Mytilus edulis: one gene and its partners. The protein of the gene in region 1 binds, or shares a complex with, the protein of each later gene. Links are inferred from orthologs where the notes say so. Each region holds a gene or a part of one and is shown in the gene's direction. Other genes may lie near its edges.

Evidence for each region. The genes of interacting proteins can lie anywhere in the genome.
Region 2: CCR4-NOT transcription complex subunit 2-like (region 1) and CCR4-NOT transcription complex subunit 11-like share a complex: the UniProt entries of both Homo sapiens proteins name them as parts of the CCR4-NOT complex. The link is inferred for Mytilus edulis from reciprocal best matches to the Homo sapiens genes CNOT2 and CNOT11.
Region 3: the proteins of CCR4-NOT transcription complex subunit 2-like (region 1) and CCR4-NOT transcription complex subunit 1-like are in contact, whole or in part, in a crystal structure (PDB 5FU7), measured with the Homo sapiens proteins. The link is inferred for Mytilus edulis from reciprocal best matches to the Homo sapiens genes CNOT2 and CNOT1. Residues at the interface, in NP_001186231.1 of Homo sapiens: Met350, Val351, Asp353, Gln354, Phe355, Gly356, Met357, Ile358, Gly359, Leu360, Leu361, Phe363, Ile364, Arg365, Gly372, Met373, Val374, Leu376, Ala377, Leu378, Gly379, Ser380, Asp381, Leu382, Leu385, Leu387, Asn388, Leu389, Ser391, Glu393; in NP_057368.3 of Homo sapiens: His1864, Ser1865, Ala1866, Ala1867, Arg1870, Asp1871, Gln1917, Pro1921, Ala1923, Pro1925, Ala2003, Tyr2036, Leu2039, Glu2040, Ser2043, Arg2045, Ile2048, Ala2049, Ala2053, His2054, Leu2079, Leu2084, Lys2086, Gln2089, Ile2090, Leu2091, Tyr2092, Lys2093, Gly2094, Leu2096.

Annotation. Positions count from the first base shown.
Region 1 is NC_092353.1:84,019,215-84,026,905, forward strand, and holds the start of CCR4-NOT transcription complex subunit 2-like, read left to right. Parts: upstream 1-4,554; 5' UTR 4,555-4,710; intron 4,711-5,313; 5' UTR 5,314-5,329; coding exon 5,330-5,376; intron 5,377-5,833; coding exon 5,834-5,863; intron 5,864-7,691. UniProt on the Homo sapiens protein: Component of the CCR4-NOT complex which is one of the major cellular mRNA deadenylases and is linked to various cellular processes including bulk mRNA degradation, miRNA-mediated repression, translational repression during translational initiation and general transcription regulation.
Region 2 is NC_092350.1:62,779,278-62,787,338, forward strand, and holds the start of CCR4-NOT transcription complex subunit 11-like, read left to right. Parts: upstream 1-4,797; 5' UTR 4,798-4,907; coding exon 4,908-4,945; intron 4,946-8,061. Other genes in the region: resistance to inhibitors of cholinesterase protein 3-like, read right to left, coding at 745-836, 4,484-4,670. UniProt on the Homo sapiens protein: Component of the CCR4-NOT complex which is one of the major cellular mRNA deadenylases and is linked to various cellular processes including bulk mRNA degradation, miRNA-mediated repression, translational repression during translational initiation and general transcription regulation.
Region 3 is NC_092348.1:63,139,688-63,147,971, reverse strand, and holds the start of CCR4-NOT transcription complex subunit 1-like, read left to right. Parts: upstream 1-5,020; 5' UTR 5,021-5,379; coding exon 5,380-5,481; intron 5,482-8,284.

The DNA of each region.
Region 1 (7,691 bases):
CCTTATATTTTGTCACTGAACTTTTTAATAAAATTGTTGATTATATTACTTAAAGAATGAATATAAATTTTATGACACTAAGAAAACCATTTTTTGAAATATGTGGTAGAAAAACTGGAGTTATTATTTTAAGTAATATCGTATTCATGATACTAGTACATGTAAACCTGAACAAATTACATTGAAACATTTACCAATAAAAATTGTCCTTAATTTTGAGTCCATAAATCAGTTGTAAATGGTGCAAAAGACATTATATAGCAACATAGTATTTTTCGTAGAACATTACGAAGAGTTAGAAAGACATATTCATATTGCATTAGACTACGTGTAAATATAGCGTCAAATTATTGCCGTTATCAGTAAACAAAATACGCTGTGTTGTAAGAAGTTTTTCTAGCATTGCTGTACGACAAAAGGATTAATGGATCGATATTGGTTAACATTACCCCTCGTAGATTATATTATACTACTCGCATGCACGTGCAATACACAAATTAACTCGCGACAATATTTACCAATATTAATGTAATAACAATATCTAGTGACATAATAATAATAAACGAACAAGATGAAATAACATCGTGATGATAAATATTTCGACATATGAAATATAACTCTTAACTATAAAGCTTTCGCACCAACGGTTACTTGCAACGGTTGCTTGAAAGCATAATCGAGTGCACACAATATTGTTTCCTATGAATACAATTAAGAAGTAACCACATGAAATTAGTCCCAAATTACAGCTAAAAATTCTCAAAACAGTTCTGCATATGATTCCTAAAACATTCGTTGATATTAAGTGTATACATCAATAATTTCCAAAAGTTAAATGACGGCTCCCACTTCGTTCTACGGTTGGCACGGTAGCAAATCGGGAAACCTCTGATAAGGCCCGGTAACTCGAATAATTACAGCACCCCCTTACGGTCATTGTCCTCGAAGTGATCGTAATATAACGACTGGATTATTCGGGTTACTGATAAGGGGTTAAATTGAAGTTCACATGAGTACGGATTTAATGAGGTCGACTAATTCACTTGCAAGTGAATCAGTCATTATCAATATTATTTAGCTTAATTTGACAAAATTGAACCATTTTGGCTGCTAAAAGCGAATTATCATTTCACTATTTCACTTTTATTATTGATTGAACAAAAACAAATCATACTTTAAATTTGTATGCATCTCGTAGCTAGTGCCCCTTTAATGTGCAGTGAATATACTGATCAGGGGTGGATCCAGTCATTTATAAAAGGGGTGTTCCCAACCCAGAACTGTATGTCCCAATTGAAATGCACTGATCGTCCAAAAAAGGGGGTCCAACCCAGGACACCCCCTCTAGATCCGCCACTGACTGATACACAGACACAGTCCACCTCGAATACTTTCAAAAACGTATTCACTGGGGTAAAGCTGATGACCGTAACTGCATTCACGGTCATCCCAAGATGTCGGATGAAAAATTAGGTCAGTTTCTGTATTGTCTGTTAAAGTGTTTCTATATCATTTTCTTTACAGATCATACATTGGAACGATGTTAATTTATAAAAGAATCACTCGGAAATCCCTTATTACTTCTGAGAAATGTGCATGAAACGGGAAATTCGATTTGAAAAAATCGCCAAGATGACCGTAAATCACAATCGAGATGACCGTAACAGAATCAGCGATTCATAACAAGGCTGACCGTAACTGCTTTTAAGATGACCGTAATTTGTAAATGATGACCGTAACTTTTAAAGGATGACCCTCAATTCTAAGAAATATCCGTATTTATATAACTATCTTTTTGTATCAAATGATTAATCGTGTTGGTATACACATAATGATATGAAAGTTTTATCCTATAGGTAGAAGAAAATAAGACGTGCTACAAATGCAAAGATTACCATATGTATCTTTTTTACAGTAGAGGGTTCAATTTTTAAAATGAATTTGCCAAAAGACATGCGTTGCACAGCCTTCAACTGCTCGACAAAAGATTTTTTTTGTTTCTGGGATTCCTTTTAATGACATATAATAAATACAAATTTTAAAAAAATGCCAAAACATTGCATGTAGTACTACACCCATTGATATTATGTCGTCTTTCATTTTGTCGTGCAAATAAAATAACAGAAATATTTTGAAAATATCATTCGAATAAACTAGTGAAGGTGAGCTCCAGCAAAGTAGATCCTTAAAATAGTATTGTACGAAAAGCGTATCACAAGGCGGAACGTTGTCAATTTGTATATATACAGAAATGTTATTCATACAGTCAGGATTCTACTTCTTCAAAATTATCTCCCCATTAAGCCAGTTCATGCTCACAGTCGTAGAAATGGAAGCCATTGTAGGGATGACGCTCTGCCAATTTTGCTCTTGAAAACTGATAAATTTATCCACATAGCACCATTACGATCGATCGTTAATTATATGTCAGTTATATTTTAAAATACAAATGTATCTACTAGCTAATGAGCATTAGTTAATGATCTTGTCTGCATTGATTCAACTTAAAAATATTGTCTGTTTGCATGTCAGATGGAATTTTTGAAAATTCTTAAGCATTTAAAAAAATTCTAATTAAATATTTCGTGGAAGGGCAGACTAAACATTTTCAGTGGTTGAAGATTATAAACCCTAGTTATCACACACACATTTTCATCATCCAAATTAAAAGACTGTCGTCAAGTACTTTTAGAAAAAATAGCTATTTGAACTACGCTACTCTGTTTTTGTGATTCATTAGATAGGTATCTCAATTGACCCATATATTTCATCTTTTCGTACTGTCATTTTTTTACGTTATAAAGTCAACCTGTAGCTTTGATATATAATAATGATAGAATCTGAAGCGAGATGCTACATATATAAAATACTCTTGCTTTGTACGTTTTAAAGACAAAATATACACCCCAAACATGCCCTTACATAAAAAGGTGCACTCGATTTTTCTCTTTTCGATACAATCGTTACCTGTTTTGGGGAATTTTTTCTTGATTCACATAATGGAAGGGCAGACACGAAAATTTCTGAACTAAAAGATTGATATGTTCTCCGTCCGTGATAAAAAAAAATTCGGAGGTTATGCATTTTCTACATCCAACTTATAGATACTATATATAAAAAAGAAGATGTGGTATTATTGCCAATGAGACAGCTATCCAGAAAAGACCAAAATGACACAAACATTAACAACTTTAGGTAACCGTAAGGACTTCAACAATGACCAAAGCCCATACCGCATAGTCAGCTATAAAAGGCCCCGATAAGAACCATGTCGTCGACTTGATATCTTATTGTTTTGCATTACTATGTAATAGATACATTGAAAACTTATGCAAATGGTGTTTTTAAAATAAGAAAATTGTCGTTTTATTTGTTTCTATTAACTTTTTAAAATTTTGCTACTATATCAAACATTACAGTTAACTTTTTATCGCTTTCTCGATAAACACAGAGCTTCGATTCTTTTGTTCTATTTCAAAAGTGTTTCCGCCTGCATATATCAAGACAAATTAAGATTTTAATCTGCTTCCTCTGGACCCATACACATGGGCTCGATTACCAAATATTCGTATGTATTATTAATGTTTTTAATGCTCCATTTATTGGCATTATGTTTTTCTGGTCTGTGCGTACGTTCGTCCGTTCGTCTGTTTGTTTGTCCGTTTGTCCAGCTTCAAGTTAAATAAAATTGAAACTTAGTACACATTTTGCCTATGGAATGATCTTTTTAATTCTAATGCGAAATTACAGTTTTATCCCATTTTCATAGTCCACTAAACATAGAAAATGATAGTGTAGATGAGGCATCCGTGTACTAGGGACACATTCATGTTTCTTCAAATTTTCGTCGTATCGCTGTAAATTTGTGTTAAAATTTTAACGTCGATATCAATAAATATTTCATTGTTTACGAGAAATATGCAATTTACTACCATTGTTATAAATCCTAAATATGGCCAATTATATTATAGTTTAAAAAAAGAAATTTATGAAACATATTTATATCCGCTAACCGAGCCCCTATTGAGATCGACAAACTCAACAAAAAAGCTTTGAATACAATACTTCTTAGAATTGATGGTCATCCTATAAAAGTTACGGTCGTCCTATATAAATTACAGTCAGTCTTTACAAATTACGGTCATCCTTTACAAGTTACGGTCATCTTTTTACCAATCACGGTCATCCTTGTGTTATGTTACGGTCATCTTGAAAATATTTTGATTATGATTTACGGTCATCTTAACGATTTTTTCAATTCGAATTTCCCGTTTCATGCACATTTCTCGGAAGTAATTAGTGATTTTCGAGTGATTCTTTTATAAATTTACATCGTTTCAATGTATGATTTGTAAAGAAAATGATATAGAAACACTTTAACAGACAATACAGAAACTGACCTAATTTTTCATCCGACATCTTGGGATGACCGTGAATGCAGTTACGGTCATCAGCTTTACCCCAGTGGTATTGGCTCTGTCCTGTTACTTAAATGAATATTAATTATGGGACGTTGTATATATTTTTGTTGGTTTTTGGTGATAATTTCAGATCTTGCTTCCAGATGGCGCTGTTAATAAACTTCCTGTTTAAAGCAAACCTCTTTCTTTTTCTAACTCGCCAATAATTCGTCTTTTCGCTGCAGTAGCACAAAATAAATTAAACAATCTTGATGATGCGATGATTTCCTATGATAATTGTGTTTAATAGGTAAGATTTAACATATGCAAATACAAAAATACAGTCTCAAATGACAAATGATGGGACTGGCCTTGTCATTTCGAACATACTCCGATACTCTCCTTTAAAATTATTAAATATACTGTAATGCATTTCGACTTAATACGCGTTATCATACAGCATTCGTTGTAGAAAATATAGGGTGAACAACACACAAATGAAACAACAGTATAGTAATGAGTAAGTTAATTAGAAACAGAAGAAAATAACTTAGTACAGTACATGATGACTACATATAAATTAATGTTAGCTATATATCACTTATCCACTTCCTGTGGAATGTACTAGGTCTATTCGCCCTGAGTACCATCCTGCAAATAGTCTGTTCGCCATGGGTTCATTTTCTCTACCTTTATTAAACAAAAATTATATAAAGGTACATGTATCGAAAAAACAACAGGTCTAATACATGTACAATGTATACGAAAACGAGAAACACTGATGAACCACATCAGCAATCATTAAACAACAGGTAATTGACTTAGGACAGGTGCAAACAAATGCAGCTGTTTTAAATGTTACTTTTTATTTAAGTATGACAAAAACAATGTAAATGTTTTTATCACTTTTCAGGAAGTTGTAACATATTATGGCATTTAGAAATAACAATATGGACAACAGTTTAGGAATGGGACAGTAAGTTATTTTTAGAAACATAAAATTCTTCTTTCTATTTTTAAACATTGTGTAATCACAATCATCATGGAGGGTTTATATTTTATGACACCAACTTCTAGGTAATTGAATTTTTGATAAATTTCTATTGATTTCTGGGTGTAGAACATAAAGTTATTAAATTGTACAAATGTAGTTTCAGATGCTAATTGTTTAAACATTCCTATGGGCATGATGTGTTTCCAAAAAAATATCATTTATATGTACTGCAATTTACATTTTACATATGTAATACATATTTATGTAGATGTATGTCTGATGCTAGGTGTAATGTTATATTAGAAAAAAGAAAAAAATAGTCTTCAATATTTTTTTGAGCATTTTAATTTGATAATGCATTTTTTGAAAAAATAGTGCTGTTTTGAAGTTGGTGATATCTAGATCAATATGTATGAAAAATAATACTTTGTTAATTCAGAAAATTCTTAGTGGAAACCTGGAATACACAGTAAGTATTACACTTAGTTAATAAATACTGTGGAAATCAAATATTAAAAGAAAGCCACATTTGTTTTAATACACATATTGATGTTTATATTTACATGTATGAATGCTTGTAAATTCACAGTATTTTTAACTAAGTTTTCTTATGTTAATTTGTTGTTTTGTTTATGTCTTCCCTACGCTTATTTCCAGAACATTTGCAGCTTTGGTAAATCATTATCAACATTTCTGTGAATAGTCCAGCCTCCTAAACCATAAAATCAACCATCAAAGCAAACCTTTTTATTTTATCATAAAATATTATTGGTTGGATGGTTGCTGAAATATTTCATGATTTTTTTAATTTTCCCTTGATGATTGACAGCTTTTCATATGAGTGCTCACATCCTTTTTTGAAAACAATACAGTGATCTTGACTTAAGGGATCTATTTCTAATTCACATAATTCCTTTTGCTGTCTGCATGTGACAACAGCTTCAAAAACGGTGTCAAATATTCACAGTATTTCAGGAGACCTGGACTGATGATTTGTACAGATCCAGTCATTCCAGTGTTGTAGTACCATGATTTTTTTTAATCTGTTTCATTTTTATGTATTTGACTTATGAATGGACACTCAACACTACACTTTATCACTGACAACAGACAAGAAACAGGGTTCCATGGTTTACTTCTAAGGATTTTGACTTACAGGATTTGTTAGGGATTGTTGTCATGATTGTACATGGATCTTTGGCAATATGATCCTTCCATTTCAGTACACAAACATTAATGTTATTTGTATTTACAAAATCATGTTGATAAAGTTTGTTAATGTTTTGGCCTTATATCACATAAGGCCATAAAAAAGAATAGGTTTGTTTGCCCAAACCCTACCTACCCAGAAAAAAGCTGCCTACCCAAATTCTTTTATTGTCCTGATTTGAAGAAGGTTTTTTTTTATCAGAAAGGCATGAAGACTAATAAACACCACATACTTGAAAAAAAAGAAAAAGAAAATGCCTACCTACCTACTCACTGTCTCAACCTTTGGGTAGGGTTTGGTCAAACCAAAATATTTTTAATTGTGGCCTAATAACTTTATTTGTGCTACAGTATGCTTGAGGAGATTACACAAAAATGACCACATAAGTGTATGCTAGTGATTTATCCCTGGATGCTGATGATTGGGAGTGATTCACAGTGAAATATTCCAATGTACTACACTTTTTTGTACCCTGCACAAATTTATAATAGAGTAGTAAATCTGAGTCATTTCCTCAAGAGCAACACCTGCAAGAATACATGGAAAATAATTCTAAATGAATTATCCTGACAACTTTAGGTGTGATCCTTGAACACAATTGTTACGCTGTTGTCTTTTACTGTATAAGTTATAGGTTTTTGCTCATTTTTGAAGTCAAGCGACCCACTGTATGTAAATATTTGTCCTCTGCATAGCTACTTTATATTGTTTTTTAATGTTCTTGCATGATTTTAATGGCAATGAAACCCAAGCAATGTTGTTCAACAGTTGGTGATTTTGGAAAATTTGATGTCTGTTTAACTTTTCCATGTTTTCAGGAAAACATTTTAACGCTATAAAAATATATATACATATACATGATATAATTACATGTACTGCATTTAAAATATTAATGATTTTTTATGCCCTACCTACGATAGTAGAGGGGCATTATGTCTTCTGGTCTGTGCGTCTGTCTCTCCGTCCGTCCATTCGTATGTCCTGCTTCAGGTTAATGTTTTTAGTCAAGGTAGTTTTTGATGAAGTTGAAGTCCAATCAACTTGAAACTTAGTATACATGTTCCTATGATATGATCTTTCTAATTTT
Region 2 (8,061 bases), on another chromosome or scaffold:
GACATTGTCTAGAACTTTACTTTCGTTTTTAAAATCACATTTTTCTCAAACCGGATGTTGACGTGACAATGGTAAAACATGGACCATAAACGGATACGTAAAATCTGTGTACGTTTACAAAGCTTGACTGAGTGAAGAAGCTCTTTCCAGATAATCTTACGTCTCTCTTTCATAATTTTTTTTTTACAATAGATTCTTTTACTGTATAAAGTGTGATACGATTTTTCTCAGCTTTCCATTAAAAAAGGTCATGTTTAATTTTGAGGAATTACAATTATAAATTATGTGGGGTTTACGGTTTACATGATGATTTTTTAAAAGCTTTTTTGTATTCACATTCACACTTTTGGTTGTCAGTATAAAAGAAAGTTTGCACATTTTTTAATTATAAAGGTTTGGACTATGACTTCTGTTGTAAATCTATTGTTAGTATATCATGTTTATATCATGTGATTGTGTTGTGTAAATATAGTTTAATGTTATGAAGACATATGCTGTGTTCAAATATGATACCAAGCCATTCCTTATGACATGTATAAGTTGAACTAATACAAATTTATGTAATAAAAGTCATTTAACTTGTTATTTTCATTCCACTGCGATTAATTGTTGGTTGTTGAATGTCTGGTGGCAAATATTTCATTCATGTTTAGGTTGAATATAGCCATGCTAGTTCATTGTACGTACACTGCAGTTATAAAAATTGTAAATTTTATTTATGTCAAAACAATTTAAAACACTTACACGCATGTGTCTTTTGATATCATCATGGTGTGGATCTGGTGATCCATGCATGTTTCCATGGCCATGAGGAGAGGGTCTATTGGGTGGATGAGCTAAAAAAATAAACAGAAAAAAATGTAATGAAATGCAAAACAAAATTACAAAAAAGTCATTTCTTTTTACATTTTTTTTTAAAATAATCATCATCAGCAGTCAGGGGTACTACTTGTACAAGTTATTTTTAATTACTTGAAGAAGTAATATTAATATACTTATATAAGTAAATTTGTAGGCTACTTATACAAGTGAATCTTTGTTGAATTAATGAGATGAAACAATGAACTCTAATTAAAAAATATGAGCTAACCTAGGAAAAATCATTAAAGCCCTGATTTTACATCTCAAAACTTAAGAATATTTGTAGGATTGTAAGAAAAATTTACTTTACAAGTAAATTTTTTAGAAAATTAAAGGGAGATTATTTAAACATTATTAATTTATATATGTGTATATTTTTATGCCCCACCTACGATAGTAGAGGGACATTATGTTTTCTGGTCTGTGCGTCCGTTCGTCCGTTCGTCCGTCCGTCCGTCTGTTCGTCCGTCTGTCCCACTTCAGGTTAAAGTTTTTGGTCAAGGTAGTTTTTGATGAAGTTGAAGTCCAATCGACTTCAAACTTAGTACACATGTTCCCTATGATATGATCTTTCTAATTTTAAAGCCAAATTAGAGTTTTTACCCCAATTTCACGGTCCACTGAACATGGAAAATGATAGTGCGAGTGGGGCATTCGTGTACTGAGGACACATTCTTGTTTTTTACTTCTTCAAGTAAATTAAAATAACTTATATAAATGACTGATCAGGTATGGTTATGTGTTCATCATTATAAACATGTACATGTTATATTGATAATTTAGTAAGTGTAAATGTGTTGTATCCGTGTTGAAGACTACTTTGACCTTTAATGGTTTACTTTATACAAATTGTGACTTGTCCTATTGTGGAATTGGCACTCATCATACTCATACCACATCTTCTTGTATCTATTTGCAGTAAAACAAATATGGATGTTTACCAAAGCTCTGAATTCTTGATAACATATATTTATCATGTAATACATGTAGGATAACTATATCATATGTTCCAGACTGTATGAGTATTTAGACTGTACACGTACGGTCTGGACAGTATGCGTACTTTTTTAAAATACGCAATATTGTCGGACTGTACGGTCTGGCTAACATTAAGAAGTTGGTCAAGTTTATTAGATACAAATGTAAATAATAGATCAACAAATCTTATATCTCAAATTACTGTAATATAAAAAGTTCAATTGATATTTAAATGAAAACTTAATATTTTAACTTTTTTAAAAAGGTCACGCTAGTTTAATCTGTTAATCTCCTGTAATTAGCATGTCAGTAATACATTATTTAAAGGCCAGTATGCTCATTGAAATTGAAGGTAATGGATGTAAACAAAACGTAGGAGAATTGTTTTAGAATATTTGGAAACTTTAAAAAAAAAAAAAAAGAATGCATATGCAAAAGAGCATGCATGAACTGCAAACATGTAAATGTAAAATAACAAAAACAACATTCCTTGTGGTAGTAAGTCATGTAAGTGTCAACTTGAGCGAGAGTACAAAAATAGGATTCAGATATAGAATTAAACAAACATTTAATTTCAATTGTACGCTTATTCACTATATCCATCTAATGTAAAAATAAAATCTTGTAGAACTGAAACTACAAATTTTTGGTAATTGTTTTTTTTTTTAATTTAACCCATATGATACCAAAACATGTATGGTCAGCTGGACCGTACGAGTATACTCATATGGTCCGACCGTACGCTTACGGTTCAAATACTTGTATGGTCTATAACACATACATTTTTAGCTAGCTATAGGAATAATTGGATAATAGTCCTTTGCCGTCAGTTATGGTATGATGAAGGATTGCCCATTTTTTTGTAACACTAGTCCAAACAATTATGAAATTTTGAAAGGCTATTATATTTTTTTCTTTTTCTTTGATGCCTTACATTGATAACAAGGCATCAAGGAAAAAATTTAAAATAGCTTTCCTAGACATCATAATTATTTGGAATAGCGTGACACATGAAAGTCTAAACTCACATGAAATCAGGAAAAAAAATCAGACAGGACATGTTTAATTACAGGTTGGATAGAGGATTCTTACAAAACAATAAACAAGTCTGTGATCAGGATGCCTCCCACTCAACCCCCTACACCTTATTGCTACATTGTTTTCCCGACTTGAAATCTGTACCGCTTGGATTTTTGACATCATACAACAATCACTTTAGCATTGTGGCGTCAGATATTTTGTGTTGTGACATCAAAATTTTACAGGAACCTGTTTGATGTTCAGTAAAGGCGGACAAATTATCATTGTGTGATGTGTTTTTGTACTAATACCAATTTTCACTGCTAACGGTTTTCACTGTTGAGTTTTTATTCAGGTGTATACTCAAATTTAAAAAGCATGTCTTGTAGATTGATTTTAGGTATCTATTTTTTTTGTCTAGGCTTACTATCAGTCAGAGATATACAACTCTATAGGGTTATTACAGAAAATAACTTGCGTGTGTTATTACAGATACTTTCATGAGTTGTCTACTCTTTATTTCTTAAATTTTCTAAATCTGTAATAACATATGTTTGTTATTTGTAAAATATTTTAATTTATAATGGGTTCTAGGGAACTCTTGAGACTTTGCGCAGAAACTAAATGCATAGCCTTGATAACTAATTTGTTAATTAAATTAATACATTTTTGATTTACCATGATAAATCAATGAGACGAGGCTTTTAAGAGATAAACTTAGCTGTAATAACAAGGCTCAGTTATTAAAGTAATGTAACTTATTTTATGAGACACTTGGGAATTACTGGGAAGCTTGCGCAGAACCTCATTACATGCTCTGGTCATTATTTCTTACAATAAATTAAAATACATTGTAATTAAGCATGATGTATGTTTGAGCAAATGCTTTGGAGTGATATAGAGAAACTGTAATAACAACCTTTAATTATTATAGGCATATTTTTTCTGTAATAACATAGGTGTACTATGCAAAATTGGCAAACTATGAACTGTTATATCTTTCTATAGTTAAGTATACATAAGGACAATAGTAATACCAATAGAACTTGTATACATTTTAACTAAACTAATGATGTATATTGTCCCTTTGAAACATGTAACATACATATGTTATCACAGTTCTTTGATTTTTTAGTCCACAATAACAAATGTCTGTTATTTTTCTGTAATAACCCTATAGAGTTATATTCCTGACTGTACTATGGTTTTTTACTGTTTCCGATTACTTTGCGATTTTTGTATGTCAAAAAACAGCGTCATATGTTTTCATATACTCATGAACGTCTTTAAAAAGCGACGTTGAATATGTTTTAAATTCTTCAAGTTGTCATGGTTGTAGAGGTGTTGTTGTTCTAAATATAGAAACCGAAAAACATGCCACAATGTACGATCATGACGATTATGCAGTCGAAACCAACGAAATGTGGTTGATACGAAAACATATGACATACGAAAACATATGACACGAGGATATATGAAATAGCGATAAGATGTACCAGACCCCTTATGGCCCTTGGGTACCAGAAATGAGTTGAAGGGTGCATTTTCTGATTTATTGATTGCATGTAAGAAAGGTTGGCATGTATGTTGTAAAATGCTTGTTTTCAAATCTTTTAAGACTCACTTGGCTCAGTCTTTTGTTTTTGAGTAGGCACTCCTAACATTCTCATTACAATAGGATGGAAAAACTTAGGATACAGTGCCGTAAAACATGCTACAATGACGACAACAGTAACAATAAGTCTGACAGAAGACAGTCCTGTAGCAGACTGGTGTGTATGCCCAACTTTAGTGCTTGCAACCTTTTCCATTTCTGACAGCAGAAAGGCCAACGAGAAAAGTAAACAAAACGAAATCTCGTTTGAAGATCACGTGATCGATCAATATTAAGCTAATTTGATACGTGGACCTATCCTTTATGTAGTGGAATCAATCAAATATAATTTATTGAATTGATTTAAACAAATATGTACAAAATTTCCGTATTGTAATAACTTAGGATTATGTTTGTCGATATGAAATAACGTAATCTCACGTTACAAAATAAAATGGCGCTCTCCTTGAAAGAGCTTGCATCTTTGCTCAGGTACTAAGTTACTTTATCTGATACTAGAAATACAAAAAAATAAAAAGAACCTGTTAAAAATTACAAACACTATGGTACAACTACTTTACGATGCACGTAACCTCTTATTGATAACTGATAAATATGAAATTATAAAATTTGTGTGGGTAAATTACTAAGGGAGATAATTCTGTTGAGCAAATTCAATGAATGGTATTTGTCTAAATCATTCATTGTCATTAGCTGATTATGTCGACAATTTGTATTGCCACTTTTTTAAAAAATTTTTTAGCAGTTGACACATAATTATTTACAGCCCCATTTTAGTTACTAAGTTAGTCCGAGATTACTCTGACGTCCTACAGCTGTTTTGCCAGACAAGCTGGGGCCGTGGGACGTCAGAGCTCGTCCCATATCAAAAAGTGGATATTTGCCCACCCAAAATAGATGCGCTGCTTCGTCGCTTCTGGTGCCGACTGACGGCCTTGGAATTTTATAAATCGGGCAGCAATCTGTTCATTTTTCATTGCGTACAATGGGAGGCAACTCTCATTGTACATAATTGATGACGCCTTGTAAGAATTGCTTCCCTTTGATGTTTCATCCGGGTTCGTATTGCCATGTGGTTTTGGGCGGAAGAGCATGTTCCAGGCCACTTTTATTATGTAATTGATATAAAACATTTTTTTTTTGACATCCGATGGAGAACAATAGAACAAGAAAACCTCCAGCGTACTTAAAAGACTTTATTCTATCATCTTTTGAAATGCAGAAGGATTTCGATTCAGTTACAGAAGCTGGAGATATAATTAATTCTGAAAACGTGGTTCATCGTCAGACATCAACACCGAAATCAGACGAAGCATGTGCTGGCGTTCGTCCAAAATTACCTTCATCTACGAACATTGTGAGTGAACTTGATAAGACAATTCAAGAATTAACAATACAAAACAAAATTTTGGAACGTGATTTGTTGGCGAAACAACACGAGCTCCTTGTAGCCAAGAAAACATCCGGTGGTGAATCTTCAAGAACCAAAGCGAAGGACAATGGTAAAAAAGTTAAAACATTAAAGCTTCCATCGCTTAATGAGTTACGGAATCAAGATAAAGTTGGAAAACAGGATAAAGAGCTTACTCGACAGCTGCTTAATCAATCTTCGTCCTCTTCCGATGATTCTGATTCTGATTCTTCAAATGATAACGACGAGGATAAGGACAAAGCTCAAATCAAAGGTAATGATTTACCATATGTTATATTCAAAGATAAACAAAAAAGAACAGCAGTTTCCGGTGAAGCAAGAGCTGCTAAGGATAGAGTTAAATATGATGTGCCATGGCCACACGAGCATGCACAAACCAAATCGGTCAATTATTCTGATAAAGATTTCGGTCTAGCACAACTAGTCAGAGGTGAAACATTCATTATGCATAACATTGAAAAACAAGCCATTTCTGTGCACAGACAAAAACATCTCATTAATTTGCTTTATCTCGTTGAAAAATACCCCTTTGCGGAGATAAAGGATTTTCACGCCGAAGTTTTGCGTTCCATAGAAAGAGGTCACAAAAATTGGTCGCATGCATTTGTTGAAGAACAAGGCCGTACTCTCGTCACCCCCCTCACTTCGTCTTCGTCTACCCCGACTAAAGCATTTTTCAAGGATAAGCCGGTTAATCGCAATCCAATTTGCGGCGCATATCAAGCGGGAAACTGTAGTCGATCCGGAGATCATTTTGGAGCCTATGGAGACAAAAAACTATTGCATGTTTGCAGAAAGTGCGTCCGTAAAGGAAAAGATTCGAGTGATGCGTCTGTGCTACATCCTTCGAAGGATTGTCCGCATCATCAATGATGTTCAACTTCAGTGCTACATTGTGAATCTACTAAAATGATCAGTAATAGTATTATTCAAAAGAAATTATATTCCCCTGTAATTACAGGTGTGTTACTGTGTGATAATTACGAAAATGATGTTGTGAAACCTCCTGCAATTATGTCAGGTGCGATTGCTTCCCCTGATTATTCAGGTGTGTATGATGAGTTAACGAAATCTTATTCCCCTGCAAATATAGGTGTGTTGTTTGATAATTCACAAGATTCCTTAGGAATATCCTCTGCATATGAGGCAGATGTTTTGAGTAATATTTATGATGTTTCGTCATGTGAATCTATAGGCGAGTCAAGTTCCGTAGGTTTTAATTTAACAGGCGTTGGTTATTGTGACAATGCTTGTAGTGAAAAAACGTCCCCTGTGTTTACAGGTGTGTCTATTTATGAAAATGATTCATATTTATTGCAATCTTTATTATGTAGAACTGATTTTGACACTGTTGTCAAAGATAACAATTACATGAATTACAATGTTGTTGATGAAACTAATAATGTACTTTTAGCTTCAAGTATTTGTCCTTGGTTTACGAAAACAGCAGGGTCTATTGATTTTGAGTATTCACCAGATATGAGTGGAAATGTTTTGAAAGATGTATCAACCAAATTTTGTGAAATGAATATAAATAATTTTTCAAGTGTTCATGAAGCCGTGTTCTACAGTGGCAAGCCGAATTTTGCATATTGTAAAATTCCAGTACGTTCTAATTTCAACATACAATTGTGGGAACAACTTTTAGAAGATTATCATGATAAAATAGTCGTTGAATTTTTGAAGTATGGATGGCCGTTAAACTATATCAAAGATACACTGCCCGATCCCCCCACACGTCGACAAAATCATCTTAATCAGTTTTCAAGTTTTATTGATTCATATATTTCAAAAGAATCAGACCTTGGGGCTATTTATGGTCCTTTCCGAAAGAACCCTCTCTGTTGTCATTTAACATTATCACCATTATTCACAGTTCCTAAGGGAGATTCCGATAGGAGAGTAATTGTTGACTGTTCGCATGGCAATAATTTGTCCATAAATGAAGGCATACCTTCGGACACCTTTTTGAATGAAACTTTTAAACTTTATTATCCTAGACACGAAGAATTTATTGCTTTGCTCTTGAATCACGGTCGTGGGTGTGCCATTTGGAAGTTGGATTTGTCCCGGGCTTTTCGTCAGCTAGTATTAGATCCGCACGACTTGCATTTACAAGGTTATGAATGGAGGGGACAAATTTTTATTGACAATC
Region 3 (8,284 bases), on another chromosome or scaffold:
ACGATACAGTGTAAAAGAGGGACGAAAGATACCAGAGGGACAGTCAAACTCATAAATCGAAAATAAACTGACAACGCCATGGCTAAAAATGAAAAGGACAAACAGACAAACAATAGTACACATGACACAACATAGAAAACTAAAGAATAAACAACACGAACCCCACCAAAAACTAGGGGTGATCTCAGGTGCTCTGAAAGGGTAAGCAGATCCTGCTTCACATGTGGCACCCGTCGTGTTGCTTATGTAATAACAAATCCGGTAAATAGTCTAATTCGGTAGGTCATATTCATGAAAGGGGAGGGTATTGTAGTTACGACGTAAGGAACATATCCGATATCATTTGTGAAACGGTTATTCTATAACCAGTGCTCTAGCTAGAATTCAAAAGGGGCAGGGTGCCAGTGGAGGGCAGGGCACTTTTTTATGATAGGAGAAGGCACTGCTCATTTTTTTTGTCTACGTCCCTGCGTGTATCACGATTTCACATATTTTTTTTTCTGTATATATTGTTAATAAAGATGCATAAGTTGTTTTGATTATTTATTCTATAAAATTTGCATAAGAAAAGTCATTCATACTACATGTTCATAAAACATGGCAATACACATTCATACTATTAACCAAAAGAGGCAAAATAAACTTACTTTTCTCCCCCACCCCCTCTCCTTCCAAAAGAAAGATCATAAACTAAACATCTCATAGTTGACCATACATGTACATGACAGAGTACTTTAAAATTTTGATCTAGAGCTTGACCCTCAACACCTGTTTTCATTGTTCATGTTCAGAAATATATTATTTAGTGTAGCTTCATCAAGTTGATTTGTGATTAGAGTTAAACTGCACACTTTCAGGTTAGAAAGTACATAGCTTGGACACCTGTTCAGAACTTTAAAACTTGTTTTTAAATTTCTATTTTGACAATGTATAAAACATGGATTGCCAAAAGTATGATTATCAAAAATAAATTGCAATATATTTTTTTTTGTATGTTCAAAGACAGTTAATATCCTTAAGGTAACATTCTTATATAATTTTGTATTCAATTGGTTATTTTTTCCTATTTTTAGTGCTAGATAATATTTTAGGAGCACAATTTTGTAATAAGCTTTTTCAGGGGAAATAACTCCAAAATTAATTTCCATGTTTACGTCTGCTTGTCGCTCACAAGTTGAGATGAGCGATGTTTCTGTAAAGGCATAGTTTTATTTTGATAACTTCAATTCAATTCTAAATTCACGAAAGTCTTCATTCATACACTCTTCCATGGTGACTTGAGGATCGAAAAGAAAATGCCGACACATTCATCATATTTATGACAAAGGTACATTGTCTTAAAATTAAATTACCTAGTAATTAACACCTTTGAAGTCTTATCCACTATAATTGATTGTAATGACATGATTAACCTCGTTACCTGGGGGCAATCACCAGGTGTCAGATATGTAATTGAACTTCTGATAAGAAATCGATTGAAACAAAAGGCAATTTTACCAAAACGGCACAAGGGTTTTTCGAAAAACAGCGTCAGGGCAGAAGGGCGCGGCTGAGGGCACACAGGGCGCGGCTAAGGGCACCCAGGGCGCGGCGCCCTTCTATTTTGGGCTAACGAGACCACTGGGTCAACTAACTCGTGATGGCGTCCGTAAAATTTATGAACATTACATGTTGAAATTCAAAAGACAGAATTAACTTTTTGTTTTTTTTATAAAATGAAAAGTTTTTTTTTAACCGAGGGAAATTAAACTAGAACAATGAACTTTGCCCTTAATTTTTCTCACACAACATGCACACATGGATCATTTTCCAAAAATGTCTATCAATCTTAAATTAAATTCACCATATATAACAGTCACCCAATAGGTACCAGTCCAATAGGTGTAATTTCAGATTTTAAGAATGAAATTGCTTATTTTACATATCATCTAATAATAATAATAAACAGCAGTTAACCAAATAGCGAAATTTGTACAGATTTAGTTAGACCAAAAATGTATAAGAAGGAAGTCGTTAACTTAATCCAAAACTTTGTTTTAAGTTAAGTGTTTATTGTCTATCTGATCCGTGACACATTGATACAATTTGGTAAGCGACGTCCTTTACTCGAGAGAGAAAATGTAAACTATGCAATTTTGTATTCAAAACATGGATCTGAATGGCAATTTGGTTTTATGGAAATAAGTCAAATTGTTGGAAAATATTCCCAGAACATGATAAAGACAATTTAACACTCATTTAGTTGTAGGATTATAGTTCCTTAAGGTTTTACCCTGTTAGTCAATCTGATTAACAGATTAACATGTAGAACTTTATTATAAGTACATGTATCATAAGCTATTTACTAGTTAAGTCGGCTTCATATCTTGACTTACATCTAGAAATTGACAATGAGGGTCGGTTGAAAACAAAACTTTACGACAAAAGAGATGATTTCAGCTTTCCAATTGTGAACTTTCCATTTCTAAGTAGCAACATTCCAGCAGCACCTGCATACGGGGTATATATCTCCCAATTGATACGATATTCCCGTGCTTGCATTTCCTATCATGATTTTCTTGATAGAGGGTTACTGCTCACAAGGAAGCTATTAAACCAAGAGTTCCAAATGGTAAAGTTGAAATCATCCCTTCGTAAATTTTACGGACGCCATCACGAGTTGGTTGACCGTTATGGAATAACCGTTTCACAAATGATATCGGATATGTTCCTTACGTCGTAACTACAATCCCCTTCCCTTTCATGAATGTGACCTACCGAATTAGACTATTTACCGGATTTGTAATCACCGCATGATAAGCAACACGACGGGTGTCACATGTGGAGCAGGATCTGCTTACCCTTCCGGAGCACCTGAGATCACCCCTAGTTTTTGGTGGGGTTCGTGTTGTTTATTCTTTAGTTTTCTATGTTGTGTCATGTGTACTATTGTTTTTCTGTTTGTCTCTTTCATTTTTAGCCATGGCGTTGTGTCAGTTTGTTTTAGATTTATGAGTTTGACTGTCCCTTTGGTATCTTTCGTCCCTCTTCTATTTGTGTGCCCTATCCCTTTTTCCGAAATCCGCTACTTTCTTGTTTTCTATTCATTTCAATTCTTTTGTCGTTTTTTTTATATGTATTATGTGACCATTTAAACACTAGAAATAAAGTGTATTTGCTATTTACTATCAATTCCAAGTTTACTATCCACAGCTAGTGCTCACTGATTTATTATATAGGGGGAGGGTTAAGAAAAAAATATCCTGTCCTAAAGTACCTATGGCTCCCAGTGGCAAATATTTCTGCTTATTCAAGTCGATAACTACTCAATACAATATGCATGGTATGCAAAATGTGGCCTCCCACTTAGGAACATGAAGCTATGTTAAATAGAGGCAGACATTTTGCCTCGCAATAATCTATCTACAGATACCTCAGAGACAGAACACAGAAGTAGTTCCCATAAGACGAATTTAATGTTATTGACGATATAGATTTTTTATGTTTTGACACAATCATTTTTTTTCTCAATGTAGGTCAGACTTTGTTTATTTAAAAGAATATTGAAATAACAAAAATACTGAACTCTGAATACAATTCAAAACGGAAAGTCCGTAATCAAATGGCAAAATCAAAAGCCCAAATATCGAATCATGTTATAGCTTAACTAGATCTGACTGTGTATTGATGAATTTTCTCTGGTAAAACTCTGTACATCGACTGGTTAAACATGCTGAAGATCCTATCGAAGACTAAAGCGTAGTTAATGGATTTTATTTCGCCGGACTCACCTCTAAAACCCGTTGAAGAGTAATTACACCACGTCTGAATGTACCACTGAAAGTTGGTTATCTGCATGATCAGCAAGTTCAATTGTATAAAGCCGACACTTGTTCTGAATTAAGTTATTAAGTAAAAAGTTATGAGAAAGTTTTGATAACATATCATCTGTAGCTGAAACATATGTGCACGCTTAATGTGTCCACTTACCCAATTCTCCCCTACTATTATTTCAGGAGCATCTATTAATGGAAACTAGTTCAATATAGGTAGTCATGATCAGCTTGTACAATATAATCATGTTTGTTCAAATGTTGATCCGGGATACCCCCAAAAAAGTCCGAAAGGCCAGTTCGTCTGATGAGGAGGGAATTTAGTGGCTGTCAAAAATCTAATGCCGAAAGTAATAATTAAAACTCAAATTTACAAACGGCAAAAGTCCTCAGGCGGCGGGCCGGGTCGCCTAGTCCCCCCTCCATGATTCCAATCTTAAATTGTTGATCTTGACTCAGACATGTACAGTACGTGAACAATTTTCATGGTGGTATGTTTACACGTGTATGTTTACAATCAATACTACCGTGACTAACGTACGGTACCCAAATTGCACCGAGTACCCAAATTGCGCCTATTTAGCAAAAATAGCAGCGGACATCTAGGTGCAATTTGGGTATATACCGTCACGTTACGTTCCTCCTCATTTCTGAAACAATTATTAAAAAACATTGAAAAAATATTGATCCGTTAAAAGTTTAGACTGTCGTGCGTCTGCACTGAGACTACTATAACATGTGTTATAGTAGTCTCAGGTCTGCATAAGAAAACAAAGAGACAGACCACGGAAAACACTTTAACAAAACCAATTTCACTACGTTCTCATCAAAATGCTCAAATAATAGTTGATTAAAAATATATTCCAAAAGAATCATGAAGACATCGATATTGAGCGATGCACATCATGCACAAATAGGGCTCTTCACGGTTAGTTCGGCCATATTGGATAGGGGGCAGATTTTCATAATAGAGGTAAAAATGGTGTGAAAAATACGGGAAAACATCATTAAAACAGAGCTGTTGCTTGGAAACACACATAGGATTTCCCACACTTTCATACCATTTCCACCTCCTTCCAAAAAATCTGCCCCCTATCCAATATGGCCGAACTAACCGTGAAGAGCCCTATTTCCGGCGGAAACTTTTTTCACGAACTGAAAGCTGAAAACTTTCGGCGTGTAAATTTTCTAACTTGTGAAATAACTTTAAATGTTGTGATTTTAGAATGACAGATTGTTTTACCGTTAACCATTTAAACTAACTGAAGGAAACTAGATATTTGTTTGATCAAAATATTTTTACCAATAACGCATTTTTAGTACGTGTCACATGATCCAATGCTTCGTTTAAAGTCGGGAAGTTTCGGCACGGATTTAACATGGCTGCTGTGACGCCATGTCGGTGTTGAAAATGACAATGTAAAACCGTAGAAATTTCCAGATGCCAGGCCAACAGAGGCCCCATATGACTAATTTACTTTATAATTATTGTGCAGAGAGTGTATATAGTGGACTAGGAGAGCTTCAAACTGATTTGGGGCTTTCGTTTTCAGTTTAATGGAATAATATGAATCTTGACTCATTATCTTTTGCCTTGGCTGAAATAAGTTATTCAGTGGCCAACTTGACAAAGAAAAATTTTAAATCGAGTATAACAGAAATAAGTCATGTACGTATAATCATAAGATTAATTCCAATATCGCTTATATACTGTTTATAACCAGAGATTTTGTCAAGAGTATCGTTATCAAGGGAGATAATTTCAGCTCGTGTGATCTTGACCAATATGTGCACATGGTGTACTGGTAAAATCAGCTGATATATGATGTTGTTATCACTTTGAAATAAACCATGTCATTTGTTTGTATTGAAGGCATTGCCCCATGATAAATTTATGCAGCCTTTTAGTTTGACTGTCTGAACTTTGATTATGAGTTTGAAAGAGGTCCAGTGCTGTGATGGTATCGGGATCGTTTGCCCTAATACATGTTCGCCCTAGGTTCGTTCGCACTGAGTTTGTTCGCCCTGGTAATCCGTTCGCCCTGGGTTCGTTCGCCCAATTTTCATTTATGATATGTAAAATTGAGAAAGGAAATGGTGAATATGTCAAAGCGACAACCACCCGACCATAGAGCAAACAACAGCCGAAGGCAACCAATGGGTCTTCAATGTAGCGAGAATTCCCGCACCCGTAGGTGTCCTTCAGCTGGCCCCTAAAATATGCATAATAGTACAGTGATAATGGACAATGTATACGTTACATTAATGAAAGAAATATATATTTATATATATATTAAAATTTATGTATATCTATTAAAAGTTAAATACAGAATATTAATGAAATAAAATTTTTGGCTGCATTGTTACACTTTATTTTATAATTACTGTTGATTGAATTTTGATTGCTGATAATTTGAAATCTTTGATATCACTGATTGTTATATGAATTGTCTTTGATGGATTAATAATGAAAATAGCATTTTTCCCAAATAAAATTTTTACAAATTATTGCCAAACTGTACCGTCCGACAACCCACTTGACCAGGCGCGGATCTAGATGGGGGGTTCCAGGGGTTGGAACCCCCCCTTTTTTTGGACAATCAATGCATTTGAATGGGGACGTGTAATTGGAACCCCCCCTTTGTCCTGGGTTAGGAACCCCCCCCCCTTTTAAAATGGCTGGATCCGCCCCTGCACTAGACAACGTTCAGCCGCTGCAGTAAAGAATTTTAGATCAATTAACACTTTGAACTTTGAACACTTTCTTATGTATAACTTTAGTGCTCCTAATGTATCATTTTTATTGATCAAATCATGTGTGGAAATGTAAAGCAGAGTAAAGTATATATGTCTCTGTGTAAAGAAAAAGGATGTGTGATAGTGATTTCCTAGTAACGTAATTACATACAGATACTAACTTAGTTCTCAATAGTTCGTTAATATTCGGCGAAATTGTAGAGACTTCAACACACAACACTATAATAAAAAATAAAAATCAGGGCGAACAGGTATCAGGGCGAACGGTCTCAGGGCGAAACGGAACTAGGGCGAACAGTAACTAGGGCGAACCGAAATCAGGGCGGACGGACCCGGATTCTGCTGTGATCATGTGGAATCAGTTGCTCCATAACACATATGCACTTAACATGATCACATCCTATATTTATTCAAAATTAGGTTGAATTAATTTTCTTGTATTGTTTCGGTGATAATATCAATATCATGAATATATATACATGTATGTTAGACTCAGATTGACGTCTGCTCCTCATATTAATCGACTTCCAAATGGTATCCAGTCCTTCCGGCCCCAAACCGATCCGGCCCTACTTCGTTCCTGCCCCTCGTCGATCTGGCCCCATAATAAATGATGAGGAATAAACTACAGACTTTTAATTAGTATAAATGGATTTTGTAAAAAGTATCAATAAAGGATGACAACAGGCAAGTGTGAGGAATTTTAAGAACTTCAAACAAAAACAAAGTTTGTACGTATCAGCTTGGGGATCGGCTTGAACCGTTGTGTATGTAACTATTTATTATTACACAGGATTAAAGACTTGTTAAGATCACAGTCAATTGAAAGAAATTGATAATTTAATACTGATGATTAATGTTGATTGTCCTAATTTCTGTTATATTTTTTTAATATAATTATACCCAATAATCTAGAAAACTTATAGTGAAAACATTTTGTTTTACATTACACCTTTTACATTGTAATAAAATTCAGAAATTCAGAAAAACATCAACATGCATATTAATACATACAATGTATGTATTTTGGTGAAAAATGTTCATATTATTGACCTACATTGTCGTTTTCCTCTCCTTTTCAATTAAATGAATGACATGTAGTTTGTCACTGGTATTCATGATTTCAGTCTTATTTATTTTCATAAACGATAAATACAAATTCGTGAACTATTTTTTTTTTTTAATGAATTAATTTTTTTTATGATTATATGATGAATTAGTAATTGCTGAATATTTATGATTACTTTTATAAAAATTGTAAGGTTAGTTTCAAAGCAAAATTGGTATCCTGGTTATTTGTTTGAAAATCACTATTGTTGTAATAACTAGCTTTTATGTAAAGTAAAATACATACAGTTAGCTTAGTAAGGCCAAAAAATCATTACCTGGTTCCACAGTCTTCACGATGAACTGCTAAATCTACAGGCCCAGCGCTCAATTTTTGAAATTTTTTAGTTAGATTCTGTTGGCCTGTAGATACAAGCCTGGGCTGCCACTCAGCGTGACGACTGGGTTCTAGCTACCCTATATCCCCTTGTTTAATTGATTTCAATGCGAGAGGCTCAATCAATTCTACATGTACACTGATTCATTTTTAAAATTTATTGGTACAAAAACTATGCTAGTCACACAATAAGCTATTGATATGGCACCCAATAGTCTTTTTGAATCATGAACATGATGAATGAGATGAATAGTTTCAATTATCTTAAAAA